Linked DNA regions of Struthio camelus. The protein of the gene in region 1 purifies or fractionates together with the protein of each later gene. This does not show direct contact. Links are inferred from orthologs where the notes say so. Each region holds a gene or a part of one and is shown on either strand. Other genes may lie near its edges. The genes, in order: MTHFD2 and HRAS.

Region 1 (14,962 bases):
TTGACCGCGTGACGAGCGCCACCGACGTGACTGGAGAGACAAGAGCCCCTGAAACCGCCACGGGACGGCGCAGGCTTCGTGCCGACGTGTGGCCTACGCTGGCCTAAAATTGCTTCGGGACGGTCCGACGGCACAAACGTTACCCGGCTTGATTTGATGCAAAGTTTAGACCCAAAAGACATTCACAAAGCACTTCTCTGATGTACATACTATTCCTTAGAATCTCCGTGATGTTCCCTTTCCCACTTTAGCTCTCCTCGATGGCACAAGCATCTGGCCACCCTCTTCTCCGCTGCACACACCACACGGTAATCCGACCCGGCTATTTGCCTATCTGGTGTCATCTTGCATTCCACCCTCTACCAGCAGCAGCAGCAATTGGAGCCGCTTGTACTTTAAAAAGCACGCTACGGTCTCTCAGAGCATTCATTCCATAAGACAGCAGATTGAGAGGCTACAGTAAGACTCAAGAGCAATACCTGACGCTTCAGATCAAGTTTGACCTATCATTTTCCTTAGAACAAATCATTTTAACAAACCAATCTTTCCAGGTTCCCGACAAGATACAGGCCTCACTGATCAGCAGGGAAAAAAATCCCCACTCGTTTAACGTGCAAGACTGGCCAACGGCTACCGACACCGCGCGTTCTCCCTAACGTACTCAACGCTTTGCCCGTGGCCGAGCGTCACTGCGAGAGTGCATTCAGATACGTCTCGGTCTTTTTAATCTTCCTTCTACGCACGCCTACGTCCTGTCACGCAGACCGCAACTGTAGACCGAAGCAACCTTCTTACCTTGGTCCAGCAGACATCACCGGACAGCTCGCCTCTGTGCAAAATTCCGTAATGGTCCCATACAACATGTTGATTTGGTTGAAGAAATCCACCGCTGGAAAGAAAACGCATCAAGTTTACTCAAAAGGCAAAAGCGAAGCAGAAAGGTACCGTAGCACTACTTCATTTTATTCAGCCGACAAAGCCTCTGAGGAACGCTGTCACGGGGCGGGGGTGCACCTGCACAAACAAACGTTCCCCTTCCGTACAATGCCACGCGGCCAAAGACTTAGAGACGTTTTGACAATCTAGGAATTTTACTCGCTCGCTCGGTGAGCTTTCATCTCATTTTTCGACTTAGGACTACTTACTATTTGCACAGCACGAAGCTTCTCTTCACCGTGGCAGTAAAGCAGCATGCAATTTATCAGGAAAAATCAAAAAAAGCCCCACAGAGAAAGCCTTCCCGTTTTTTCATTTCAATACAAGACAAATCAATTTCTAGCGCCCGAGTTTTCTTTTTGAAAGGCTACTTGAGAGCAGAGACCAGAAAGAAAGCTATCACCGGCCCTACAGGAGTTCGCACCATTTCTATGAGCGACATAAAGCACACCGCTCCCTATGTGCAAAAGGGGACTCCGGGATCAATAGCAGCCTGCCTGCGTACCCCGTGCCCTCTTCTCATTTTTCATAACTTGCAAATGACTGTTTCACCTTCTAGATGCCTTTAGAAAAAGGCTGGACAACACCTTCACCCACACAGTTTTTACAAATACAAGAGATCCTCTTTAAGCTGAATCTTGGTGGCTTGACTTTATGTCTCCCATTGCTCAGAAACTGCTTTTTTCCTTTAACATCTAAAGGAATCAAGGACAGGTAGAGCAATCACTAAAAGCAAATTAATTTGCCTGTAATTGTTCAACCATCAGAATTAACCCAGTATTTTTACTCCATGTGCAACAATAACAACATGAAAATGGAAAATAACGCCAACCTTCTAAGCTAGAGTTTAACGGAGGTGAATGCAGTTCCATTTTTCTCCCCGTGTGCTGTTTGCTGCTGTGATTTTTGCAGCCGATAGCGCTAACTACTTGCTTTATAGTTCAAAACATCAATACTGAACACTCGCACCCAAATACTGATGTAACCATTCAGAAATCTAATTGCTTTTAGAAGCCTGACCTTTAAAAAAAACAACAGCGTGGGTTTGTCTTGGGGTTTTGGGGTTGTTTTTTGTGCTTCCTGAGCTCAGCATCTATTCAACACAGGATCAGTTTGCTGTCAGGGCATGCCCTAAAACTTACTCTTTCCTTTTATTCCAGCCTTCCTTGACACAGTTACCTACAGTATGTCTGGGACACAGATAAGAATTTCATTTTTTAAGGATGTAAACCAGAGATGTATATATAGGTATTTTTAACTCCACCTCCACGCTGAGCTGGATTACTCTTTCTTAGGACTCACTGTTAACTGCGATCCACTCATTAAGGTCTTCTCCCTCCGGCAACATAACCGCTTGTCTAAGGTTACCGCTCCCCAAAGTTGCTTCGGCATGTTTCAAGAGTTCATACTGATGGGAGCCTTCAGGAATGTTCTTCTTGGGTTTGAAGGTTTTCGAAGATCGACTGCCACTGACAAAAGAGAAACACGTTTCCAATTAGTCCTTCAGCAGCGTTCCCCTCTCAGAAATATTTAACTCCTGCTGCGGCTTTCCCTTCGGGTGACCGTATCTGCCCTTGCCGTCCAGCACTTTTAACAGAGGTTATATAGCAGTCCTGCCCTTTTCCCTCACCCCCGACACCAGGCCTCTCGTCATCCTCTTCGAGGAGAAGAGAGTCCACGTGCAGGCCAAAGCAGTTTTGACAGCTTCACAAAAAAGACACTAATTATGTGCTGCCAATTTAGCAAGAGAAATTTTGAATAGAGATGGTCCACAGTTACCTACGTTAGCTTTACTTGCAATTTTGGGACCTGACCCCGACTTTCCGAACAGGACCCTACCCGCACAAACCCTACAGTGGAACCACAGCCACGTGAAAAAAGTCCTATACTTTAGAAAGTATGACTACTTATTTTGCATTTGAGTAGCATTTATAGCTCCTTTTAGCCAAGGAAAGCGTTGCTCTGAGTTTCACATCTCTGTGCTTTGAAGTAGAACTTTATCTACAGAAAAAACAAGCCTAGAGGTGTGTGTGTGTGGGGGGGGGGAAACACTAATGTGCCATGATTAACTGTTGTTGCCTCTGTTCTTGGGGCAGCTTCTGCAAAGGAAGGACAGCTCACCTACCATCACCTCAGCCCCTGCTACCGGAACATGGATCAACATGCAAACAAAACATCGCTTTCCCACCCCCAAACGAAACATCACTTTCCCACTCCCGACTACCATAGGAAAGTAGCTTGTCAGGTATTCGAGTGCAAACATCGCTACAGACCCTTCTGCTGACACGGAAATCCTTTGCCTCGTCTTAAAAGCTAGCAGTCGCTCTAGCCACATGCCGAATTCTCTTTTCTATACCCTTTTCAAATCACAGGAAACATTTGGTGCAAAGAACCAGAACGCTGATTAACAGCAGTTGCCTTAAATGATACTGGCAGACAGGTAAGGGGGAGGGGGGGCAGGACAAAAAACACCACCTTACCCAACCACAAAACCAAAAATCTGTTGGCTGCTGCTACATCAGCTTTACTGGGGCAAATATGAGATACTTACTGCTCAAACACAGCGTAGGAAATCGCCTGCTAAAAATAGCAACTTCGCATACTCCAGCCCCGCAATGCAAATTGCTGCTGTGGTTAGTCTTCACATACTGCATAGCATGAACATCTGCGCTCATCAGACAAATCATTTAGTGACTCCAGACCCCAATTTCCCTGTCCCTAAAACAGGGATAACAGTACCTGAGCCTTCTTCCACAGAGCGCCCTAAAGAACATCCGTGACAAAAAACAAAACAAAAAAGCACCCCCCCCCCCCCCGCAACAGTATTATCTTCATTTCTGTGTACAAACGCTAAGGCTTCCAAAAACAGGCTCTACACAGGATGAAAGGACTGAATTCTTTTTAGACCGTGCAGCACGTTGCACACCAGAGCCTGAATCCTGAAGAGGAACTAACAATTACCACTAGCAGACGTCGATTTAAGAAGATGAACACAACAAGCTATGCGTACACAAGCGGTCAACTGCACAGCTACCAGGCTTAAAAGGGAGGAATTTTGATGCCTTTAAATCACAGCCATGAACCTTCAGGCACCCAACTGAGCAGAGCCCTCCCTGTCCCGCTCCTGGATTAACAGTCCAGACTAGCAGTCCGCTGCCTTCACCAGCATCACTTCTGGTTTCAGGAGGCAGAGGCACAAACGAAACGAACGGCAGGGCCCAAGTTTCTCCCGTTAGTCACTCAGTGGAAACACGCTTATCTGGCACACGCAGCTCAGCATCGCTGGCACCCTGCCTCAAAGTCGCACGCAACTGGACGCGCTTGGCTCACACGTGCCTCGTGCAAGCTTCTTGATGCAACGCTACCGCGGGACTGACAGCACTTCAGCGGAGCGCAGAGTGGGTGAAGCTATCTGTTTGGTGCAGAAATAAAGGGCCTTCACACCCAACTCGCTCTAAACCAAGCTACTGCCTCCTGCTACGCTACAGTAGATGCAGACCCAGCATGTAATTGACCCTGCACAAAGGCTCCCCAGCCCCTTCTCGCGCCACAGGTCACCAACTCCTTCTCACACGCGGCACCCAAGAGCTAGGAGCTACAAACATGCATACCTGTAACACCCTACCCTCTGTAGCTCATCAAAGACACATTTAAAACATCAAAGTCAAGCAGTCTCTCTGTTTGCACGCACTTCCTCCAAATCATTTGCCACAGCTCAACTTCAGCCCACGTATCAGAACAGGCATGTCCTGCCCCATCAACCCAGAGAGCCTCAGCCCGCCTGGCATACTCCTGCCTGTCCTACGGCATGTCTCCTAGCTTGCCGACACCACGCTCTCATATCCAGACATCGGTCCTCTGCACCAGTGGCCAGCTCCAGCCTGCTAGGCTATCACCTCCCCACCCCAAACAAACATATAAGATACACCAAAGTCTGCCAGCTTAATGCCTTTCCCAACTGCAATCAGGCTGCCCCACATCCCATCAGCACAGCCCCTCGTGCAAATACGGACACTGAGGGCACAAGCCCTTTCCGCTGCAGCAGCTCTTTTCCACACGCATACAGCAAGGCCCACCCAAATCCCACCCAGAAGGAAGCCCCACAGAGCAAGGGCCTCCCCTCCTCTTTTCTGCCTCATCCCACTCTTTCCATGCTCGGAATCACCACCTTGAACCGCTCCTCCACACGCTGGAAAACCCTCTCCCACGTCCCATGGCCTCCACCCATCCATCCCAAGGGCTTCCCCAAGAGACAGGCCCTACTCCAGTCACCCCAGGGCTTCTCCTTCCCCTCTCGCAAGCCTTCCGCCACAGCACGTCACCCCATTTGCCCCAAAGGCCCTCCCCATGCACAAATTCCTAGAGCCTCCCACTACTGGGAATCATCCCTGCAGACACTCAGCAATTACAACCCTGATGCAGCCCCCCCCCCCTATCTGCAGGGCCTCATCTCTCCCCTGTAAGACCAATCCCCTCAAATTCTCCCCAAGAGGGAGGGACTAGTCCTTGCAATACACCCCCTTTCCAGGGCCTCCCTCACCACAAAGGCTCCTCCCCCCATAGGCTGGCAGGGTATTCACCCTACTTGGGTGCTCCCCAGGGCTGCCTGCCTCACCCACCGCCCCAAAGTCAGCTCCCTTCCCCAGCCTATCCCAGGACTTTGGCTCTAGGAGACACCCTCTGCCACAGCCTTCCAGCCTGAAACTGGGAGCTGGTCTTAGAAGTAGGTGCAAAAACATATACGCTGCCAGGGCCTCCTCTGGCTTCCTCCATAGGACTGCACTCTTCCCCACCACCCCTAGAGCCTTTCCCAAAGCCTTCCTCAACCCCCTCACCTTCCATCCCCACGGTCTCCCCATAAGGCCTTCCTCAGCCCCCCTCCTTATACCCGCAAAGCCTCCACCTCGAGGTCTCCCTTCAGCGCTTTCTCCTCCATACATCCCCAAGGCCTCCCCGCCAAACACCCAAACCCTTCCTCCAGCCCCCCACTAACCCTCGAGTCTTCTGCCCAAAACATTTCTCAAGGCCCTCACATGCACCCAGAACTTCCTCCTAATGCCTTCCTTAAAAACTCTCTATACGCTGCTACGGCCTTGCCTCGAGGCCCTTGTACACACACAGGGCTGCCCCCTAAACCCTCTCTGAAGGCCCCTCCCCTGCATTGCCAGGGCCTCCCCACAAGGCCTTCCTCCAGCCCCTGTCTCATTTCTAGGGCCTCCCCCTCCCCAACACCCCACATCTCACCACAAGGCCTCTCAGAGACTCCCCCCGCACCCCCAGGGCCTCCCCTCACTCCCCGAGGCCTCTCAGAGAACCCCCCCGCGCACCCCCACGGCCTCCCCTCACCCCCCGAGGCCTCTCAGAGACCCCCCCGCGCACCCCCAGGGCCTCCTCTCACCCCCCGAGGCCTCTCAGAGACCCCCCCCCGCACCCCCAGGGCCTCCTCTCACCCCCCGAGGCCTCTCAGAGACCCCCCCCCGCACCCCCAGGGCCTCCTCTCACCCCCCGAGGCCTCTCAGAGAACCCCCCCGCGCACCCCTACGGCCTCCCCTCACCCCCCGAGGCCTCTCAGAGAACCCCCCCGCGCACCCCCACGGCCTCCCCTCACCCCCCGAGGCCTCTCAGAGACCCCCCCGCGCACCCCCACGGCCTCCCCTCACCCCCCGAGGCCTCTCAGAGACCCCCCCCCGCACCCCCAGGGCCTCCTCTCACCCCCCGAGGCCTCTCAGAGAACCCCCCCGCGCACCCCCACGGCCTCCCCTCACCCCCCGAGGCCTCTCAGAGACCCCCCCGCGCACCCCCACGGCCTCCCCTCACCCCCCGAGGCCTCTCAGAGACCCCCCCCCGCACCCCCAGGGCCTCCTCTCACCCCCCGAGGCCTCTCAGAGACCCCCCCCGCGCACCCCTACGGCCTCCCCTCACCCCCCGAGGCCTCTCAGAGACCCCCCCCGCGCACCCCCAGGGCCTCCCCTCACCCCCCGAGGCCTCTCAGAGACCCCCCCCGCGCACCCCCACGGCCTCCCCTCACCCCCCGAGGCCTCTCAGAGACCCCCCCCCGCGCACCCCCACGGCCTCCCCCGCGGCCCCGGCACTCACAAGAGGAAGCTCATGGCGAGGCGCCGGGCCGGGCCGGGCCGGGCTGAGGCGAGGCGGCGCCGCCGGCTGCAGGCGCGCGGGCCCCAGCTGCTGGCGGGCCGCGCCCGGCCGCTCGTCCCTACTCTCGCGAGAGCACCGCGAGACTGAGCGGGGGTTGGGGAGGGGGGAGCGCCGCGGCAGGGGGCGGGGCCTCGACGCCGGAGGTGGGGGGGGGTGGAGCCCTCACCATGGCAACCGCCCCGCCCGGACAGTGGCGCTTGCAGGACCCTATGGGGCCAGGCCTCCCCATGGGCCTTAGAGCCCTGTACGGGCCCGGGATGCCCGTATGGGGCTAGGCCCCCCTGTGGGGCTAGGATCCCCAATATGGGGCTAGGACCCCCCCATATAGGACTAGGCCCCCTGTACGGGCTTAGGACCTCCCCTATGGGCCTAGAACCCCTGTCTGAGGCCCTCCATATAGGACTAGGCTCCCCTATGGGCTTGGCCCCCCCCATGGGACTAGGCCACTCCTATAAGCTTGGGACCCCCATATAGGACTGAGCTCCCGTACGGGCTGGGTTATGCTCCTGTGTGGGCCTGGGGCTCCCCTATAGGACTGGGACCCCCCCCCATCTAGGAGTGAAGCCCACTATGGGTCTGCAGCTCCCACAGGGTCCTGGGACCCCCGATAGGAGACTGGGCTGCCCATGCATCTGGGTCCCCCTATGGGTCTAGGACCCCCCCCAAAGGCTTGGGCAGCCCTATAGGACTGAGACCCCCCACCATGGTCTTGGGGCCCCGCCCAAAAGCCTCCCCCCCCCCCCGCCATGGGCCTGGGCAACCCCACAGCCTTGCGGGCCACTGAAGCGCCCCTCTGCCAGCCCGTGGCTTACGCAACCCCCAGCCCCTATTGCAAACTCCCTCCCCGCCTCCGGCCCAGCCAATCAGCGCCGCCGTGCCCATCTACGGAGCACAAGCCCCGCCCGCCACCACCAATCAAACACGGCCGGCTCCTCTCGCCCGGCCCACCCCGTCCCCCCAGCACCTCTCTCCCTCGGACCCAATCGCAGCGGAAGAGCCCGGGCTCCGTCCCGCCCCCTCCCTCGCCGCCGCCAATCATCTCTCACCTTCTCCTCGCCGCTCGCCTCGCCGCGGCGATTGGCTGCCGCCGGCCGCGGGGCCGACGGCGGCGCTATATAAAGCCATCCTCGGCTCGGCGGGGGTCCTCGCGCATCCCTTGTGGCGTGTCCCTTGTCGCCTGCCGTCGTCGCGCCGGGGAGAGCCATGGCAACCGCGCTGGGCCCGCTCCGCGCCCTGGGCCGCGCCGCGCAGGGCTCCGGTGGCGGCGGCGGCGGCCGCCTCCACCTGCTGCCGCGGAGCCGCCGTCTGCACCTCACGGCGCCCAGGTAGGCGGCAGGGAGCGCCCCACAGGGGCGGGGGGCTTATTTAGGGATGGGAGGGGCTTATCGGCTGGGAGGCGGGGCTTACCGGCGGCGGGGGGGGGGGGGGGCGGTGGCACCGGGCCCGGTTTCCCCCCCCCCCCTTCCTCCCGCCGTCGCCACGCCGGTTGCGGTACCGGCGCGGGGGCCCGGTGTGGGTTGAGGGGTGGGGGGGGGGGGAAGGTCCAGCCCGCTGCCCCCCACCAGGGCTGCGAGAGCCCCCCCGTCCCCGGGCCGCCGGTACCGGGAATGAATGAGGCAGGGCCCCCAGCGGCCGCCCCGGGAGGTGCAGGCTGATGAAATCCCACTCCTGCCTTGCGTGTGGAGCCCGGGCTGCTCCCCTGCCCCGGGGCAGCCTCCACCCCCCCCCCCCCCCCGAGAGGAGCCCCCCAGGGCAGCGGGGCCCTCCCGACCTTACTGGCAGCACTGGGCAGTGCCGAGGCCTCGCTATCTCTGGGCCAGGAGGAGCCCCCCGTGCAGTGCTGCCCCCCTTGCGGAGGGCTCGGGGCCTCCTCAGGGCAGGAGGAGCACTGATCCCTGTTTTCAGTGGTGCCAGGGGACTGGAGGGACCCTCTTAGTGTGTCCCCTCAGTGCCCCTGACTGCTATGACTTTGTGCAAGAAACCCAAACGAATTTACTTTCTCCTTCTCTTTAGCTATCACCTGAGCAGTAATACACCGCGAGGCTAAAACAGCTTGCCCCAATGCCATAAAAACCCCCTTTGGGAGAGCGGCTGCTTCCACTTTGAATTTTTTTGCTGTTTCATGCTTTGAGTTCTTACTTTGTCAACCTCGGACTTCCCGACAGACCTCAAAGCTGGTGAGCCTCAGGCTGGCGCCTGATGTGTCTCCCTTTCCCCTCTTGGCCAAGGCTGGCACCCCTAGCCTCTAGGGTTATGCAGCCAGGATATTCTGGTAAATTCTTGTTTCAATTTGTCTTTGGACTGGTAAAGTAAGTGTTGGAAGTGGGGCTGAAAGCTTGATTTTTGAACTTGCCTTTTGTGCTGATAGTAGCTTGCCAGGTGCCTGTAGTAATTCCTTTTGCTTAGTGCAGGTTTAGCTCTGAAGCTAAAACAAGCTTTAAAAAGGCTCAGCAGGCTAAGCTAGTCCGAGATGGATTTTTCTCAGTGGTTACTGCTAGCTAGATCTGACTTGGATGATTCCCTTTAGCAATGAGCTATGATTCAGTAATGGGAAAGCTACCTATATGAATAGCTCTGGGATTAAGAAGAAGCAAAAGATCCCCTACACCTCCGACAAAGCATTTTGGCAATAAGGCTTTCTCACCTGGGTTGGTACCTTCTGCGAGTTGAGTAGCTTCTGAGGCTTGTGTAGCTGTGAAGCGCTTTGCGGGGCGACTGCTTCAGAAACTGGCTGGTTCTTGTGATTCAGGAAGGTGCCGAAAGTGTCCCTCGCGTGATGCTGCGTGGAGCATCTTTGCCTGCTTCGAGTGAGGGGACTAACTGAGGGTCCTGTCTTGGCCAGTGAAAATCATCCAGCAAGTGAGCAAGGAGCTTGTAGCGAGGCCTTGCATGAAAGCAAGGCTCAAATGCTGTAGCTGAGTCCAGAAGTGACACTTGGGAAGGTGAATCCCGTCACAGAGGAACTAGTGAATGAGCATGACTTTCAGATTGAAGTGAGAACCTGAAGAAAAAGGAAAGCAAACAGTTAGTATATAGCCAGCTGGCAGTGAGGCCTGGCAGCCGTGTCCTCAGCTGTATTTTGAGCAAGCCTTTATGTACTGCAGGGTATCCAGTTGCCTGGAATGTACTTGGCAAGAACCATATATATTCCTGTTACCAATTTAGCCTAGAAATGCTTGCAAGGAGCTGTTCCTGTGTGGTTCAAACAGCAGGCAAATGTGTCCTCCCTACTCTGGCAGAAAGTTGGCGTCTTAAAGCCTTGCAGGGGGTAAAACCAAGTATCCTCAGTATGGCTTTACCTGTCTGAAAAGACTACTGCAACGGTGGAAGCCCCCCTTTAAAAAGGGAGGGCACAAGACTGGTGTGTGCAAGGTACGTGCTGTGCTAGGTGGGCTGAGATCCTTGTCAAGGGATTTGTGGGAGATGGGGATCTCTGGCAACAGCGCTGTGTGCAGAAGTACAGTGTGCAGCACCTCCTGTGCTGTGTCAAACAAGCTAGTTACTCAATAGACCTCTCTAGTGGAAACTCCACTTGGTGGAATGAGTTCTGCTTTACGCAAGTCCTTTGTAGTGAAGCTGTCGTGCCTTTGAAAGGGACGGATGACTGACCTTCTAAAAAAGGAAACTAGTAGTATCTGACTTGATGTGCTGGACAAGAGTCTGGACTCTTGCCCTTCCAGAGAAGAGTAGTCTGCGGGCTTTCTGAGGTTGCACAATGAGTTGGTCCTTGCAACAGTTTTACTGTTGTCCGGTATCAAGGTTTCAGGCAGCAAAGCTGTAAACTAGAAGATTGAAATGTGCTGCTTACCTGGTGTTTTCTGCAAATCATGTCTTGCACTACAGTTGCAGCAGACCTGTGTGTGTGGCTGAAGTGAAAGGGCTGTTTCTGTAATGCCTTGTGGTGGGCACCTGTTTCCTGGGTGGTTGTTGCCCAAAGCTAGAATTTGATGCTCCTAACAGTGCTGACTGCTTCATTAACACTCTGTTTATTGCAGCAATGATGCAGTTGTAATTTCTGGAAGGAAGCTGGCCCGGCAGATCAGACAGGAAGCCCGTCATGAGGTGGAACAGTGGGTAGCGGCTGGAAACAAGAGACCTCACCTCAGTGTTGTTCTTGTTGGTGAAAATCCTGCAAGCCACTCCTATGTACTGAACAAAACCAAAGCAGCTGCTGACGTAGGTAGGTCTTGTACTCTGCTGTTCTCCAAAAATGGAGCAAGTGACTGTTTAATATCTTGCTTTAGTTGGGAGCCCTCTATGCTGGGGGGAAGCTTTCAGGATGCGGCTATCTGGCAGCTTTTCACCAGTCTGGGGTTTACCCCAGCAGTTGCTGTTACTTTTTGGCTGCTTTCATAGTAATACTGGGGTGTAGTTAATGTGAAAATGCAACATCAAGCTATGTATTGTGAATTGGCAGGCCTCTCGGGTCCACACAGGACAGCCTGCAGGGAACTTTGAGCAGTTGAAAGAAGGCAAAAATCAAAATGCAGTTGACATCCAGTGCACTCCTGCTACTTTGTTGTGACTCCTTCCAGTCTTGCAAGCCAAGATCCTGTTCCTTAGGCTGCCTGAGGTGTCCTAAGTATGCTTCTAGGAAAGATGCTGAGGGGGGTTGGGGTGCTAAATGGCCTAACCCCTCATAGGGTACTGTGCTGCTAAAGCCTTCTCTGGAGCTGAGTTTTTAGGCTAACATCCCCTTGTCACTCTGTCAGGAGGGTCCACGGGAAATGCAGCTGCATCTTCATCCTACCACATTCCCCATAGGTTTCTCAAAGGGCTCCATGCACTTGGGAGGGCTTTGACTTTCAGGCAGTCTTTCCTGAGGGTGGCTGCACACAGACTAACTAATGGTCCTTATCCCTAACTTTCAAGGCCTTCCAGACTGGAGGCTGTCACAAGTCTTGCTTGTAACACCAAGGAGTGTATGTATTCTCATATTGGATTTGGTACAGCAATGATGCACGGCTGAGAGTCCGATTGGACTGGGTTGAGGAATAAGGTTCCTGCTTGTGCGCATACAGCTCTCTAATACAGCACTTTGAATGATTGCACAGGAATCAGCAGTGAAACAATCCTCAGGCCAGCTTCTATTACTGAAGAGGAGCTACTGGATTTGATTAGCAAACTAAATAATGATGCCAATGTGGATGGCCTGTTAGTGCAGCTTCCTCTGCCTGGTGAGTAGCTAGACTTCTATCTTTTTCCTGTTTTTCTTATAGAAGTCTTGAAGGGTCTGTAGGTGCCAGAATGAGGTGAAGCACAGGAGTTCTCATGTCACAGGATAGCTGGCAATCTGCTATGCTGCAGCTCAAAGAAATTGATACAGCAGCTCCACCATACAGCTGCCTATGCTGCTGGCCTTGCAGAAGTCTATTCTTGTATGGGCAGTATCATCTTTCTGAGCCAGAAGCTTGAAGTTGTGACACCGAGGCTGTCTAAAAATATCCTTTCTGCATTAGAGACGCTGCAGTTCCGGTGTGGTTCCAGTCCCCTTCTGGGGGGAGCTGTTAGCTCTGAACTTGCTGGAAGTTTCCAGTAGCTTCAAGCTTCCAAAGCCCAGAGGGGCAAAGGGACTGGTGCAGCAGGTCAGACTTTGGCTGCCTGGAAAGAGCTGGTTCTGGCTGATCCCTAGGGTTAAAGCTTTTGGATTATTTTTTCAGAACATATTGATGAGCGAAAGGTTTGCAATGCTGTGACCCCAGACAAAGATGTTGATGGCTTTCACGTGATAAATGTGGGGCGTATGTGCCTTGACCAGTACTCCATGCTGCCAGCTACCCCGTGGGGGGTGTGGGAGATCATCAAGAGGACTGGTAAGTTGCTGCAATATTTGGCTGCTGTCTAGCATAACAGTAGCGTCTTTGTCTTAGACTCGGTCTTGTGTGCTGTAGGCATCCCGACGCTGGGGAAGAACGTGGTGGTGGCTGGCAGGTCGAAGAATGTGGGAATGCCCATTGCCATGTTGCTGCATACAGATGGCAGGCACGAGCGCCCAGGAGGTAGGAGCTTGGCAGCCTCAGTGCCTGCACCCCAGATGGCTGCAGAAGGAAGCCCTCTGTGCTTCTCACATGGTCCTTGCTGGGCTCCTAAACCAGTCCTGGGACTGCATTCTGGACTGGTGTATCCTGTGGGTTATGGCCGCTTGTGGCCTCAAGCGCTTGTGACCTCCACAGCTGAGTTGAAAATTCTGCCCTTATGCAGTCTTGTAACACTTCAGGGCCATCTTCAGTAGTCCTTGGCCTCTCAGTAGGCTGCTCCTTGTGGTTAGTCATCAAGATCTGATCATCCTGAGATGGACCAGGCTGGTCTTGAGGGTGAAGAGTTAGAAATGGCTGGGTTCAGGTAGTACCCATGGGTAAAACATTCTATGTAACTGCTCTTGCAGGTGATGCCACAGTAACAATATCTCACCGCTACACTCCCAAGGAGCAGCTGAAGCAACACACAATTCGGGCTGATATTGTGGTAGCAGCAGCAGGTAAGACCAAACTCTGGAGTAGGCAAGGTGCACAGAAGACACTGCATTGATGCTTACATGTGGTGTTTATGATGGGGAATCTGCTCTGAGGAGACAATCCAGTTGGTATCGGATGTCCTGGGGGCCTCTCCATCTGAAGCAGCTTTGGTAGTGTGGGAGAGCCTGGCTCTACCATGGCTGTTTGCAGATGCTGTAGGCAATGGCTGGGAAGGTGGGTGAGGGGCTATTTGAGCCTGCCAGGTTAGACTGATAAGCGTAGCCACATGCTTGATCTTACCAGCAGAGCTGTTTGCAGGTCTGTCTTTGAAATTAACACCTGGCAGAATGACTTGGTATGCTCCCAAGCACCTGACGAGATCCAAAGACCAGCTACAGACAGGCTCTGTTAAACATTCAGACAGTTTGTATTTCCCACAAACATACACAAAACAGGGTCTGCTTACCTAGAGACAGTGAAATGCTGAAGGACAGTTGCTCTAGCATCTTCAGAGCCTGAGGAATTGCTCACGCAGGTTTACTCTTCTCCAGGCTCTGCCCTAGGCATGGGGATAGCTCATCTGCAGAAGTGTTTTGCCAATTCAGGTTCTGTGCCTGCCAGCAGAAGCTTGGTGTAAGCCTGTGGGGAGGGAGGAGAGAAATGCAGGTTAGAAACAAGATCCTGAAAGGATCAGAAGTGGTAGTGGTGTTGAAGGTGGCACTGCATGTAAGGACAACAGCCACGCTGCTGGCAGATGAAGAAAGGTAGCAGAAGCTGAGTAAATTGCCAAAGATGGTTATCAAACCAGAGCAGGACTTGCCCTAAAGAGTTAACCAGCTGAATGGGGTGTAGGAATTTGAATTCCTCAGCTTGCAGTCAGCTGAGGCAGTATCTGGTAAAACCAGACAAACATACCCCACCCTGAAAGGGTGGCTGAGCCCTCAGCTGCTGTTCCCTACCCACCTCCCTGCCATGCTGGGGGTTTTATCGCCCTTAGGTGAAGCCAATGCCTCCACCAACTGGGTTGTGGTGAACTGAGACTTGCCCTTGTGAGGCAGGGAGGCCTAGATGGGTCAACCTACATTATCTGGACAATGTAGAAATGGGATGAGGGGGAGCAGGGAGTTGTTTAGTACCAGTATAAGCATGCAATTCTGTCTTTTTTTTAATGCAGGCATACCCAATCTGATTACAGCTGACATGATCAAAGAAGGAGCTGCAGTTATTGATGTGGGCATAACTAGAGTGCAGGATCCTGTCACTGCCAAACACAAACTGGTTGGAGATGTGGATTTTGAAGGTATAAAAGGCTCTGGCATCTGGCAGTTTGAGTGTTTAAACACTTAGGGTGCTGAGGAGCAGGGGAGAAAGTCCTGGGTTGTGTGATGGAGCAGATGCAGACCACTGCTGAAGTT
Region 2 (14,755 bases), on another chromosome or scaffold:
CAAACCTTTCATTTTTGTAAATATTCTCTGCATGCTGCTAGAGATAGGATATGGTTACAAGTATGATACTGTGAGAAAAGGGTGCAATACATGAACCAAAACTGAAGAGTTTTCAGTTATGGACTGCATTCCTTATACATGGTAATAACATCCATGTGATAAATTCATTTATTTCTGCAAACAGGTAATAAATTACACCTCCACATGGTAAGCCAGATTTATCCCATTCTTTGACCTCCCCTGCAATATTTCTGTTAACTTTATAAAGTGCCTTAAACACTCTGAACATTGGTCATTGACTGCCAACAACTGCACCGATTCATCTGAAGCTCGAACCATACACATTCATAAAACCTCAACACTTGCCTTTTCTGAAAATCAGGTTTCTACAGCTCTCCTCTCCTCTTCCCCCTTGCCTGGCTCTGGCTGAAAAATATGCAGGACCATTTGCCAGGGTTAATTTTTAATAGTGTCCTCACCGCTGCAGTGGATGAAGTCATTTATTACAGCCAGCAGTACGCTAACACACTAGGCAATAATAAACGCTAAAGAAGGTGACTCAGGAACAAGCAACCAGAGGGAGCTTTACATTCCCACCTGCCTGATGGCTCGGCGCAAAGGGCCGAGCGTGGCATTTAGCTTCGCCGTACACCGAGTCTTCGTTCTCGGGACTCCTGGATTCGAGCCAGGATGCCAGCTAGGTTTATTTACTTTGTCGTCATGTGTGCACACACATAAACAGAGTCGCAGCAGGCTGTGTGGCCAGCCCTCCCCTCTGCCTAGGCGCTCTTTGCCTCTAGTGAAGTAGGTTAATATTCCTCTTAGGCAGTCATTGCTGCTGTGGGAACGTGTCAGCCCAGGCAGTTTGGCCCTTAAATATGCTTTGTGATCTCAGGCAGACTGGAGCGCAGCCTACCCACCTGTAGAACAGGTTTAATAGCAGTCCGCTTTTCTCTAGAAATGCTAGGGGGATTACTTCACGTCTGAGATGTTCAGATGAGAACGGCTCAGCGGTCGAGAGTATTTTAAAAAGAGCAACTGGAAATCACGGCTAGACTGGCAGCTCCGTGCGGGCGCGGAGATGACCACAGAGGCAGCGCTGTTCTCCTCTCATTACCCGCGATCCTCAGAAAGGCTGGGATGTAGGTGGATCAGAAACCAGGGGAGAAAGTGCAGTTGAATACTTATCAAGGAGGATTCATTCTGATTTTACTGCTCTGAGATATACAGGCTTGGGATGCAGGATCTCTTTTGCCTTCCGAGTGAAATGGGGTGGCAAGGCAGAGTCCCCTCACCAGCTCTCACCCTCTCATACCTATCCGCTGTAGTATTTTTGCCTCCACAGAGCAGTCCAAAAGCCACTGAACGAGCCCATGAATCCTCCTCACAGTCTGCAATAGGCTTTGGATCTGACCTCAGTGAGCCAACAAGAACATGCTGCTCAACATGCTATGACAAGTTCCCTGGCATGTGCTGATCCCAGCAGGAGAGCTGTTATAAGCTGTTACAAGTACGCTCCTAAAAAGGAGGAAGATCTTGACGAAGGAGGCAGAAGCCTCCTGCTCAGTCCTCACTCCCACCACGCAGTGCCTAAGCACATGCTCCCTGAAAAACACCAGTCTCTCCTAAAATCGGGGAGCAGAGCAGTCCTGAGTCCGTTCCTTCCTCTGTCCGCTATCACAGAGAAGCTAGAGAGGGTATTATATTACTCTTCATTCACTTTGCGATCGTGTAAGTCTCCCAAATCCCGCTGCCGGTAAGCCCCAATGATTAAACAGCTTACTGAAGGGAAACTATAGCTAACGCCTTCTGCTGTTATCAAAGCACCTTGCTAATGAGGACTGGGAAATCACTCAGTGGTAATACCACATCTGTAGATTAACATTAGCTTACTCGTGTTTTCATAGTCAGTGGCTAAAATTCAATCAATTACTCGGATCCACATAACATTTCTGATGAGTATTTCAGTGCATCAGTCTCAGCATTTGCCCAAAGTACTGGAAACGCAAAAAGCAAAGCCAAGATCCTGAGACCAGAGGAGAAATCTGCAACATGTTGATTTGGACATCTCAGCTGGGGTATCTTACAGGAGGTCTGACTTCAAAAACGTTTAACATTTGCCCTCTGGAAGCCATCAGCCAGCACTTCAGTGATGCGCGCACGCACCCACTTACATCACTGCCGAGCACACAAACACCCGCCTGAAGAGTTTCTAGGAAACGGGCGATGGCCCTGCCTCAGCCCTGCAAGACACGAGCGACTGCAGCTCCTCTTCCGTACTTTGCCTTCCCTGACGGACAAGGTGCAGGAGAAAGGGGCTGATGCAGACAGAGAGTGAGGCAGGTGACCCCTTCCCCTTTATGGGGTCGGTATGGGACCATGACTGCCCTGCTTGGAAAGGCCTCTGATAAGGAAGGGGGGGAGCCGCCAGCAAAAAAGAGGATCTATGCGAAAGAGATGTAGAAGAGACCTGGAGATCAACTAAACCATCTCTCTGACTGAAGGCAAGATCTCTACCCCCACGCTGTACTTGAAGGGGCTTGTATAGGAAGACCCGCCACCAGGGTGAGGGTCTCTAGCGCTAGGGTCTCTCAGGACAGCCTAGATAAATAAGCTGCGCCTGTGCATTAACTATGCTAACCGTTAAGGAGCTCTTCTGATACCTGACGTAAACCTCACTCGGGGTGGGCATACCGCTGCCACCACGAGCTTACAGGGTGCAGTATAGCTCAGGATCTCGGGCTCTGACAGCAAGCAGCTCCCTGCAGGAGCATCTGCCTTGGCTCTCAGTAACACAAAGGCTGAGGTCAGCAATGGGCTTTGTTACTACAGCAGTACAGTCCAGGTAAATTTTGGGTAATCACTGAAGGGGACAGAGAAGGAGCTGGAAATCCCCAGCAAGAGACTCAGGAAGAGGCTGGCACAGTGGAAAGCCACTCTCCATAACGGAAAGGGACCAGGAAAGCAATTGCCAGCTTTATGAAGGTTGCATATAGGGCTAGCGGATGCACCAAAGGCTCGAGAGTACTGAAGAAGCAGGGAGTTATGGTAGAGGGCTGGAAGCCAACCTCCTGTCCAGTCTACAGGGCAGCTACTTGTTAAATGAGTATTATTCTGCATCAGCTTTACTCGCTTTGCAAAGGTGGGAACTAAGGCTCAGGGCAGCTCCTTATTGAAGGAGGAGAAACAGGATTTAGGGACGGGCTCGACAGAAGAGCAGCAAAGGATGAGCAGCTTGAGTTTGATGATGAGAAGGAGGGATGTGTGGCAGGGGTAGAGACAATGGGCTGCCAGCAATTAAAAAAAAGCAATCAAAGGGAAAGAAACTAGTAGTTTAACTAGATAAACACAAATGTCTTCAATTCTATCTAATTCTACCCTGTGTGCACGCTTGAATCAGGCTGCGCAGCACTGCTTTGAAATTTCTGTGAGAAACAGATGTATTTAACAATTGTTCCTCAATGTTGGGGTGGGGGGAAACAGCGTTCGGGAGCAAGAAGATTCTTTTTAAAAGAATAAGAATAATCTTAGTGTCGCCTCCAGGAGAGGACGTGGGATGGTCCGAGATTTAAGTACAAAGTCATCTGGTACAGAGAAGCCTTGAACTACACAAAGACAAGCGCGTTGCACATCGGCAGGTGCTGAAATGACACAGAGAGCAAGGCATCCCTTAGCGGCTCCTCTGGTTTCCACACCTCACATTCTGGTTCCTGCCAGCAAACAGGACACAGGCGACACAGAGCATGGTAAGTGATCTGAACCGCCCCATAAAGAAACTGCCAGCAGGCAAACTGCAAAGCGTTCAAACTTTTCTGTAGGGTTTGAAAACTAAAATTGCACGGGACAAAACGCTGTGAGGGCTCGTTTAATGAAAAACAAGGCTTTCTAATTCCAAAGGCCTGAGTTACTGCTGTCTGAAGACGAAGCAAAAAACCTCCCTCCGAGGGCAGTGATTCGAAGATCAGGCTCTGAGGGAATGATTGACACTCGTTTCAAGCTGACAGCTAACAAAAGCTCTTGTACACACGCCAGCAAACTGCTGCCAGGAAAGTCACTGTGGCTCCTACCTTGCAGATTTCTACGTTACTGGACCTCCTACCTTGTTTGACCCTTGCTTATCCACCCTGGCAATCTCAGCAGGGAGGCCTGGGAGTGAGTGGAAGCAGACGTGGGATGTTTATCAACCCTGGTCACTCTTGGCCAGGTGGGGGCTTTTCCATGGAGGGCTCTGTGCCATTTTTAAGTAACTCACGTTCTAGAGTTGGTGCAACAACCCACGAAGAAAAGCACAAAACCTTCAAAAAGAACATTTGCTAGGGATTTAAGCAAACACCCACAGAAACAAATGGGGCACTTTTCTGTAGAGGGCAGTGCTTTTCAGACCAGACTGCAACTGGTAGGCAATTGTGCAGCTTCTAAATAGAGTGTCAGAGATCTAATCGAGATTTCCTCTCCCGCCTCTCCACCCCGCTAGCAGAATCTGAAATCCACAACATCCCACCATCCAGCCAGCTGGGGGCTTCCCAGTACAAACTACTGCATATCATGCATATGGAGATAACATTCTTGTTCATTCGCACAGCGTTTCTATGGGGAGACTGGCCCATGAGAAGTGACCAGTCCCTGAATTATGTCTCGTCTTTTCTTTCCCCCCCCCCCTTCCAATTTACTTTACAGGAAAAAAAGGAAGCAGTAATAGTTTGCATTTTTAAACCGTGGAACAGAGAACTCCTTCCACTTCCAAGCTCAGATTACAAAGCCCTTCCCCTCGGCGACTCCACAACATCTTATGTCCTTGAGTTTCCATGTTCAGTTTCCGACTGATCAAATCTAACTGTTAGCAGAATCCACTGTAGTCAATAGGAATCCTTCCTATTTCTAACACTAGTGGTGCTTGGGTCAGGCACCTGGCAAGGCGCTGCCCGAATTCTTTGTTTCTGTCAAAAAGGAAATACATGACAGGAGGGATCCCGTCCGGGATCAGATAACTCTCCAAACCAGTCACTTTGCTATGCCTACCCAGAATGTTCTGGGATGTTTTCATTTGGTTTAGTTTAAAGGGGCTTTTGAGTACTGTATTTAGTAGAATTTAATCCAATTTCAATGCCAGTATTTTGGAGATTAGAAACAAAGTGGCTCTATGCTCTGGTTGGGTCATCTGCAGCAACGTGGCGTTTTGATGGAGATGATATGAGGAAGGTTTTGTCAAATGATTCAGGGTTAATTAATTCAGGGTTTTATCCTGTTAATTGACTAGTACAGGAAATATCTCTAGTTCCGTTCAGTGTCTTTTGCTGATGATGTCCTAAAATACTGGACTGGTCTTACTTTTCCTCCCCCCCCACCCCCCTCCTTTCCATGTGGTCTCTCAATTGGACCGCTGCTTCCAAGCCTGAGGTACCTCTGAGAAACCCGCCCTGCGGGATGACCCTGCTTGCAGAATTTCACGTTTGTGATGTCGCTTGTGGCCATGTCTTTTTTGGTGCAATCTGCAGGAAGGATTAGCTCATAGACTTTAGGAAGGCTCTCCAGCAGACTGGGTTAAATTACAGTGTTAAATGGTTCTTGCTTGTATTTTTCTCTTTTAAATCAATGACTTTCCTTTATCTAGGGCTTTCCGTGTGCTGCAGAAGACTCAGATTTTCCCCACAGTGTCTTTATAGTCAGTCATTTACAGTATAGCAATTCATTGTCAGGAGTAAACTATAGCCCTGCATCTCCATATAGATTTATCAGTTACATTGAAATCCTCTCTCCAAGGCTGCTTTCCAAGTAGTGCTATTGCTGGGTCTTGTGATCTAGCAATATTTTCTCTACAGCCTCACCAGGAAGTTGGAAAAGGACTGTCCACTAGTCTCAATAGTTTTATCTGTAAATTCAGCTAAGCCCCTAGGCTACTCGGAGGGCTGGCTACCGTTTCGCAAGCTTGACCACCTTACTACTTTACCAGCAGCCTAAACTTGAACTGGGAGGGAATGTTTTTTAAATAAAGAGGAGGAGCATACACTTCATTCCATCACCCAATTGGAGCAGTGCTACTTGTAGCTCATATCAATAGCCTAGGGATTAAGAAACTTTAATTTCTTTCTTTCACTTTTCAAAGGTATTCCCCAGAAAGCAACCCATCCAGCTTAGGCACAGAACAAACACTTCAGGTAGCTCCTATCCCCCCACAAGATTTACAAACGTGCCTACCTTAAGCACAGGAGAGGTCCATTGGCTTCTCCGACTACTCACATACATAACAGTTTTCTAAATCATCCTCCCTCAGCTAAAACTCCATTTTCATCTCCTCCCACAGTGACAGCTCTTAAGGTTTCCCCTCTCCGTCCTTAACCAGTTCCCTTTGTCAGGTCTCAGCTCTCTCCATAAATAAGTTGTACATCAACGGGCCTGCCCTTCCCAGAAGCATCCTTAGGATGGGTTTGAAGAAGGAGCCTTCGAGCCTACTCCATCCTCTGCCCAAGCTAACTCCAAAATGCTCCCAGATCTGCAGAAGACACCTTTCCCTTTTAGAAAAAAAAAAAGTGAAAAGAACCCAAAACAGAGGCTTTTGGAGACTGTGAGCCAAATTCATTTCAGTAGAAACAGGTTTATCCCTTACTGGCATCTGTAGAGTTGCATCAGCTTAGTGCGGAAATGGATTTGGCCTTGCATTTCTGAAAATCCAGTCCTGTTCCAATTCTTCTGACTATTTCCTTCTTTCCTCCTGACTGCACTTCGGTTTTGATCCAAGTATCAGAGAGGCTGGCAAGGCTGCTAACTTGCACTACAAACTTCTTCTGACAAGTTCTGCTACCTAGATGATGCACAGTCCACCAGTGAACAAAAAGGATAAGGTCTCAGCTTTTTTCCTTGCTATAGCAACCAAGCACCTTGCGATGATCTTTTTCTTTCCCCCCTTTCATAAGCTGGTTGCCATGGCAAGTTACTGGTGCTACATTGTTACATACAAAAAGGAAACAATTTGCATTCTCTGCAAAACTCAAAAAACTTTCAAACTTTACCTCATATCCATTCGCTTTCTGCCATGATATTACTGACCCTCTAAGCTCTGGACAGAGATGGGCAAGAGAAACATGCCAGAATGGCAGAAGTGCTTGCAGGATTACCGAGTCTGGTGTTTCTGCAGGAGAAATAAATAAACAAATAAACAAATAAATCATAAAGAGTTTGGTATGGCAGGAAAGCAAAGATCACCCCAGAATCTCTGCTGCTCTCAATATGCTCCCAGAGACAATATTTAGAAGAGCATACAGATACGGTCTCCCTTCCAAACACTCCAAGAAAGTTTCAGTTACACAGAAGAAACAAAAAATCCACAAAAATGGACTAGCTGAGTGTAGGGAGAACTCAAAACCATGGAAAGAAGCAGTCTGCAAAATTACACAAAGTTAGGTGTAATCGCCCATACCTCAAAGGAACAGAAGACACAAGCAGACACTCCAAAACAACAACAACAAAAAAGGCAACTAACAGCACTACCCTCCCCTGGGTGTCTGCTGAGAATTGATAGACCCTTCGGGGTGGGGTGAGGCCAACGGAGCAGGCAGAGATGACAAATTGGGCTTGTTCTGCATCACAAATTGTGTGTGGAACCGGCCCAGAGGACAGGCAGCAGCGCTGAAGGGCTGGCCGGGAGAAGAGACAGATGGCAGCCCAAGGCTGGCCAGGAACGTACATCCTTATGTCACCGTGACTGGTCTCATTTACGCTGGCATAAATTCAGCTTATCTGAGTTAATTACACCAGTGTTTCTCTTGGTGCAAAATGGCAGGCTTGAGAGGAAAATCTGGATGTATTCAAACCCCTTGTATATTTAAAAAATTACTGTTATTTACTTTGCTGGTGATATTGATGGCAGCAAGAAGAAATATTCACGGGGGGGGGGTGGGGGGGCGGCACGGCGGAATAGGCAAAATAGCTCAGCTTGGCTGTCACCAGGGTGTTTCTACCAGAAATAACTCTAAGAAAAGATTATCCTTTAAAAAAACTTTTGGGATAGCCTTGATCTACAGCCGAATAGGAAGATCCAGTGCTAAATGAGCTCTTGGCACAAGTTTGTGCATCACACGGTGGAAAGCTGAGCTCACCTGTTGTCTATGACTCCCTTCTTGCCGAGGTTAAAGGGGAATAGCAACGCTAAGCAACTATTTTTGGGGGTCAGAGCGCTTGCAAGACTCGGCGACATACCTTCCCAGGACTCGATTTGGAGTACTGTTACAAAAAGCCCTACTGACATTAGATGGGCTAAGCACGGCCGTGAGTTATGGGCTCCGGTTTGCAGGCTGATGACAGTCAGGAAAACCTGCAGGCATCAGGATGACAGAGCAAGCCTCAGCAGCTCTCTAACCCCACAGCAAGTTCCGTTTTGGCACTTTTACCGTGGAAGTCAGGACCCCCTGAGATTCTCCCCATTTCCTCTTCATTGCTCTAAGTGTCAGCAGACCCAATTTACGACCAGCCTTCCCTTCCTCCCGTCAAGCAAGGCTTGCAACAGTTAGTGTCACGGCAGGGTTTCCTCGAGAGCTGCATGTTTCTCTTTGCCTGCTTTGACGTTTGCCATAGGGCAACGAACCGCACTGGCCGCTGGAAGAGTTTGGTGATGGTCCAGTCGGAGACACCACAGGAGGAGTTACCAGCGGTTTGCGGTGGTGGCATTTGTACTGCTGTTACAGCGGCATTGCATGTCCTGTGCTTGAATAAGAGGGCTCTGCCTTCCAGAGGCCTCACATAGGCCAGGACGTTTTACTAGCGTTAAATTCAAGTTTGGAGAAAGGAAGGGTCCGGCCAGGCAGGATGACTTTTTGCAAACGAAACAGACCATATCCTCAGCAAGCATGAATCAGCCCAGCTTTGCCGAAAGCAATGGAGCTATGCTGCTTTGCAACAACTGAGGATCTCATCCCAATGTTTTGCTTTTTATTAAAAAAAAAAAAGAGAGAGAGAGAGAGCGAGAGAGACATTTTTAAGCTATATTACTCTGCCCTCACAAGTTTGTGTCATCATCCCTATGTGATAGCGTGGTCATGACTCACCAATAGATGATTATGCCTCTGTCTTGCAGCAGACTGCAAACAAAAAACAGTCCTCAGGTATCTTATGTCCTGCTACGATCTGGCACCAAAGAACAAGCAAGAGGCAGTTTCAGTCCCACCTTCTGTTTTCTTGGTACTCGTAGGTCAGGGCGAAGCAGGAAACTAAGGTTTGCCCATACCTGTGTCTGCTACCTACCACCTATTTGTTTTTTGCTCGCTGATCAGCTCTTCTGGGCCACCTAGGCATTGAAAAAACGTACTGAGCCCGCTTCCAGGGTGCTTCAAAAAGCAGGATTTCTGTATGCTCCAGTACCCTGCCTGCTCACCAGAAACGGATAAGACAAGACGAGACAGGTAGTGCAGAGAGGCGGTGCGCTGCGCGTACGTGCGTGTGCCTGCGAAGAAACCCATCACCTTTGTGTTTGCTGCTGCTGCTCCCGCTGTCGGCGCGCTCAGGAGAGATGCTGCGCTTCTGCCAGCCGCGGTCCCTGCTTTTGCGGAGAGCCGAGGGGTTGCTCAGGATCAGGAGAGCGTTTTAGAAGCGAGCGAGCGTTTCCGAGGTAGGTTAAAAGCCTCGGCCCGTGGCTTCGGACGCGCCTTGAACGAAACCCGCGCCACCCTCGGCGGGCGTCCGTCCGTCCGTCCGTCCTTGCAACTTGCTTCATCTACGCAGCGCTCCAGCTACGAGTTCTGCAGGGCGCCAGCTTCCTTTTCGCTACCCGTGTCAAACCGGGGTGCCTAGATCAACCGTTTCTAACCCCGTTTTCAGGTTCTCAGCTACCTTTTTTGTTGTTGTTGTTGTTGTTGTTTTTTTAAGGGAAATACCATAGGGTGGTGGCGCGCTGGAAGGGTACGTTAGAGCAAACGCCCCTTTCCCCGCGACCAGGGGGACACGCTCTGCTGTCCTGCCTCAAAGCTCCCTCGCGCCCGCTCCTAGATGACCGGCCGGGGGGGGGGGGGGGGGTCTACGCCACCCAATATCCCCTTTTCTAGAGTAACCGCAGTGCCTCGCGGTAGTAAAACGCCCGAGAGCGGAGGCGCGCTGGGCCCCGGCGTACCTGAATCGGCAGAAGCAGCTCGGGTCGGCGGAGGGTTTTGCGAGCCCGGATTTAGCTCCTGCTCCGAGTTGGGGGGGGGGGACCCGGAGAGGCCCCGACGACAGGGCCGCTCGCCCCGGGGGGCCGAGGTCTGCCTGTCAACCAGGATGAGTGGGTTCAGGTGGTGCCTTGTTTCGGCTACGGAGCCTCATCGCGCCCCAGCTGCCTTTGCTTTCGCGGGCTGGCTTAAACCGCCTGCAGATAATTCGGATTTTTTTTTTGTTTGGTTGGTTGTTTTTCTGGCTGTTTCCCGTGAGGCCAGGCAAGAACCGCCTGAATCCCGCGGGATTCAGCCCCTACAGCTTCACCCACCGGACAACGCAGACACGACAAACCCCCCTTTACCCTTCCCAACCCGCCCCCCCCCCCAAAACCCCCCCACCCCAGCCGTTTGCCGGACAGCAGCGCAAAGGCAGCTCCCTCCAGCTCTACCCACGGGGGAGCCGCCGGCCTCGCAGCTCCCCTAACCCCCCCCCCCGCCCTTTTTTGGGACGACACCGACGCCCCCGGGAGGCCCGGCAGCAGCCGCCGCCCCACCAGACCGAGGGGCGGGGTCGGGGGAGGGGGGCGGGCCCCGGCGCGTGATTGACGGGCGGCTCAGCCCACGGGGAAGGGCGGCGGCGGCGGGCGCCCGCCTATCAGAGGCGGCCGTGTGGGCGGGGCGAGGCGCGGCGCCTGAGCCTGGGCGTGTGCGGCGGGCGGGCGGGCGGCCGGCGGGGCGCGCTCCCGCGGCCGCTCCCGCTGCTCGCTCTGCCCCCCCCCCCTCCCCAAACCCCCGCCCCGGCTCGCACATTGTCCGGGCGGCGGTAGCGGCGGCGGCGGCGGCGGCAAAGCGCCCCGGCGCCCGGTGCCAATGCGGGGCGGGCGCGGCCACGCCGGGGGCGCCTCCACCACCGCGGTGGAAACTTCACCTCGCCGCCGGGCCGACGCACGGCTGAGCGGGGCGGGAGCCCCCGGCGGCTGAGGGAGGGGAAGGGGGGGGGGCGGCGCGGTTTTTAGCCTGAGAGGAGGGGTTTTTGTTTTTTTTTTGTTTGTTTGTTTTTATTTTTTATTTTGCAAGAAAAAGCATACTATTCTCCTTTAAACTTCCGCCTCTCCTCCTCCTCCCCCCCCTCCCGCCCCTTCCAGGAGGTGCCTCCCGCCTGGCGGGGCGTGCGAGCCGGTGAGTGACCCGCCGCCGCCGGTTGGGGGGGGGGGGGGAACGGGCGCAGCCGTTAAGGGAGGGGGCGCGAGGGCCGCAGCCGTTGGGAGGGGGGAGGGGCGGCGGCCGTTAAAGAGGAGGGTGGGGCGCGGCCACCTGTTAGCGGGGCGGCGGCCCCCCCCCCCCAGTCGCGCGCACGCCGGGAAGTTTGTCGTGTCCCCCCACCCCCGTCAGTGGGGCTGGCCCCCCCCCCGTTGTGGTTTTTGGGGAGGGGGTAAGAGGGCCCCGCCGCGGCTCGGGGGACACGGAGGAGCGGCGCAGATCCACCTGCTCGCCCGGCCGCGCCATGACTCTGCTGTCTGCGCGGCCGCGGGGGGGGGGGGGGGGGGGGGGGGCAAGCCGCCTTGCTCTGCATCCCCCCCCCAAAGCCACACTCCCTGCACGCTGTGGCTCTCCTCAGCCCCTGCATCCCTCCACCTCTGTGATGTCTTCCCCCCCCCCCCCCAGAAAAGGAAAGAAAAAACCCCCACAACTCGCCAGCCTCAGCAGCGCTTGTCATCCCCGACACACACCAGCACAAGGCATCACCCAGCTCAGGGTGGGGGTGAGGCGCAGCACGCAGGTGCAGGTAGGTGCCACCCAGCCAGGCCCCGTGTGGGAGCTCTGCGGAGCCGTCAGCACCTCCCTTGCTGCTGAGGGAGGTTTGCCGCCGGGGCTCTGCGGCGCGCTGAGGCTGCCTCCACCCTGCCTGCTGCACAAGGGCATTGGGAGGGGCCCCGGCCGTGCTACCTCTTCGCCCCAAGCAGGCGCAGGGGTCTTCTGGCAGCTCCCTCGGCCCATATGGATCCTGGGCAGGGATATGTTTTTTAATTGCCGTGAGCATTCGGGAAGCAACGGGGCTTGCCTGTAGACAAAAGGAAGCTGATTAGGAATCAGAGAGGACTGTCAAACTCTGGAGTGACTGGAGAAATGCTTAGAACAGCTAGAAGCACAAGTACTATATAGCACATATTAGGAATAGCTTGACTGTTTAAATGACCTAATGTTTTTTTTTCCCTTGAGCCTGCTCACCATGAAAGTTACTCCTAGGGAGATCTTTAAGATACAAGCCCCTACTAAGGGTTCATCATCCCAGTTTGGTGTACATGGGTAAATTTTACAGGTTCAAGTAAGAACCAGTTTTAAACAGAGAAAAGGCACTAGGCTTTGTGCTAACTAAAGAATTACAAGAGAGCTAGTGCAAAGTCTTACCTGAACACACAAGATTACCAAGGTATTACCTTCCCCAGAGACACCACCCCAACTGGGAGAGAGCAATGTGAGAAAGGGATGCTTTATCTCCTCCAGCCTTGCTTCTGCTGGGTTTTCAGCCAATCGTGTTGCCCCCCTTCAGCCTCACATAGATGCCTTACACCTGTGCAAAGGGGGATTGCACTGGGCCCATGGTGAGGTTGCTCTTCCCAGTGAAGTCCAGGTGGTTAGTGATAAGGCTGATGGGCACTGGTTTCTCCTGGTCAGAATTACTAATGTATTCATCCTTGCAGAACTCCAGATTATTTTCATTTTACAGCTGGGAAACTAAGACTTGCATGATTTTCCTGATTTTGCACAGGGTGTTTGTAACAGAGCCATGACTCTGAATCCAGGTGTGAGTTCCCCTCCATGTGTTCAGGCTTGACAGTCCTTTCTTTCTGCTCCTCAGAGGTTTCCCCCCCACATGATTAATAACATGCAAACTGCTCCATTTCAGCACCAGTGCAGCTGATGCTGATTGAATTCCTCGTTCAGTCTCCTTGGCGGGTCTGGAGACTGGCAGTGTTTTCACTGGAGAAAAGTCTGCTTTGAGGTGTCAGTGTGTCTTTTTTGGTCGCAGTGAACTTTCCTTATTTTTGTAACAATAAAAAGAAGATTAAGTATGTGAGGAAATACCTTCCATGTTTGCAAAAAATTAGCAATAATTACCTCAGGTTGGGGTATCACTTATGTCATAACAGTTAAACGGGACTTACAGCCTGAGGGACACTTTTCCACCTGATGGATAGCCCCAAGGAGTTATCCTTGGTGAGGCTCTCTGTTGCGGTAAATTTAGTTCTTGGCTACAGTATATTGTGAATGGGCAGCAGTAGTGGGAGTAACCTCCTACGGTTTTCTCTGTCAGGTTAGAAAGTGACAGTCGCAGTTTCCTCATTGACAGCCCCGTGTCACTTTATAAGGCGCTCTGCAGGGCCCTCCCTGTGTATGGCATTCATCAGCCTCAGTGGCCTTCCACTTGTGGTCTGAGGACCCTTCGAGGGGTCCAGAGGCCACTCCAAGGAGGTGAGACAAAATACACAGGGAGGCCCAGTTCATCTGTTATTTACGGCGGCCTACATATGTGAAATGTATAGAGGGGTTTGTGTTACTATTGCAAAACTATATGAGTTCACAAATGGAAAAACAGATTGAAAATTGCCGATAGACTTTTTTAATCTTAGTTCTCCTAAGGAGATTTGAAAATGGCAACTGGTACTCAGGAAGCTTTTCCTGGTGAGAGTAGGTTACCAGTACGTCATTTTTCACATCAGTCTCTTTCGTCTAACTGTGTTGGAGGGAGGCAAAGATAATCTCACAAACATAAACATTTACTTCCAGAGACTGCAGCCAGACAGCACCATTGCCCCTCCTGCTGTTTGCCCATGCTGAATTTACCTTCATGCTAACCTATGCTTGGTTCTCCCTAACACATTTGTGACTGTAGGGACTGGAAACTTTGTGCTCTTGGCTCAAGAAGGCTTTCTGAAGTTGAATATGGGGGAATTCCTTAATTGAGACAAAAATTACCACACGCAGAGAGTGGTTCTTTCTGGAGGGAAGGTGTTGAAGAAGGGAAGAGGTAGGAAAGGCAGTCAAGCCATGTCTCGTCTGCCATCCTTCAAGATTTGTTATGTCACTGTGCTTTTTGTCAGTCTAGAAAAGGAAAATGATTGTGTACTGAGCACTCTTATCTAATTGTAATTTATTATCACTTTTCTATTTAACATTTTTAAGTGTAAACTTATAAGCAGGGCTTATTAAACAGCATATAAAAATAAAACTGTTGAATATATTTGAATTTCACCTGTATTAATCTAATAATACATTTATAAAGTGGTATTTGATCAGCTTTATAGCTGATTGGATACCACAAGAGAGTATTAAATAAATTATTTGACAAATACGGCTGAGATTAAACAAATGATCTGTTTGCTAAGTGCTGTTCAACTGCTCTGCCATGGCACGTTCCTCTTGCTTTATTTAGGCTACCCTTTCTTTCCAGTTTTCATTCCACTTTTTCATGCTTTATCTTTTCCTGAACTGTCCTCAGTATCTATTTCCTTTAACTTTTCCTTTAACTCTTTCTCCTTTCCCTATATTGTTCTTTCTTTGTTCTGCAGATCATCTTTTCTTTCTGTCTTTTTTCTGCCTCTTTCTTCTACCTCTCTTTCCATGCCTTTTCATTC

What was found.
Region 2: the proteins of MTHFD2 (region 1) and HRAS purify together in Homo sapiens (co-immunoprecipitation; 4 studies listed by BioGRID and IntAct, with this or other methods). This does not show direct contact. The link is inferred for Struthio camelus from reciprocal best matches to the Homo sapiens genes MTHFD2 and HRAS.

Annotation. Positions count from the first base shown.
Region 1 is NC_090968.1:1,084,192-1,099,153, forward strand, and holds the start of MTHFD2 (bifunctional methylenetetrahydrofolate dehydrogenase/cyclohydrolase, mitochondrial), read left to right. Parts: upstream 1-8,058; 5' UTR 8,059-8,295; coding exon 8,296-8,417; intron 8,418-11,087; coding exon 11,088-11,272; intron 11,273-12,146; coding exon 12,147-12,269; intron 12,270-12,752; coding exon 12,753-12,905; intron 12,906-12,983; coding exon 12,984-13,091; intron 13,092-13,477; coding exon 13,478-13,570; intron 13,571-14,721; coding exon 14,722-14,847; intron 14,848-14,962. Other genes in the region: MOB1A (MOB kinase activator 1A), read right to left, coding at 796-889, 2,239-2,405, 7,033-7,046. UniProt on the Homo sapiens protein: Although its dehydrogenase activity is NAD-specific, it can also utilize NADP at a reduced efficiency.
Region 2 is NC_090946.1:15,868,749-15,883,503, reverse strand, and holds the start of HRAS (GTPase HRas), read left to right. Parts: upstream 1-9,456; 5' UTR 9,457-9,598; intron 9,599-9,718; exon of another isoform or gene 9,719-9,807; intron 9,808-10,096; coding exon of another isoform or gene 10,097-10,230; exon of another isoform or gene 10,231-10,565; intron 10,566-10,787; exon of another isoform or gene 10,788-11,297; intron 11,298-11,782; exon of another isoform or gene 11,783-11,848; coding exon of another isoform or gene 11,849-12,159; exon of another isoform or gene 12,160-13,023; intron 13,024-14,755. Other genes in the region: LRRC56 (leucine-rich repeat-containing protein 56), read right to left, coding at 7,008-7,126, 10,097-10,230, 11,849-12,159. UniProt on the Homo sapiens protein: Involved in the activation of Ras protein signal transduction. Ras proteins bind GDP/GTP and possess intrinsic GTPase activity.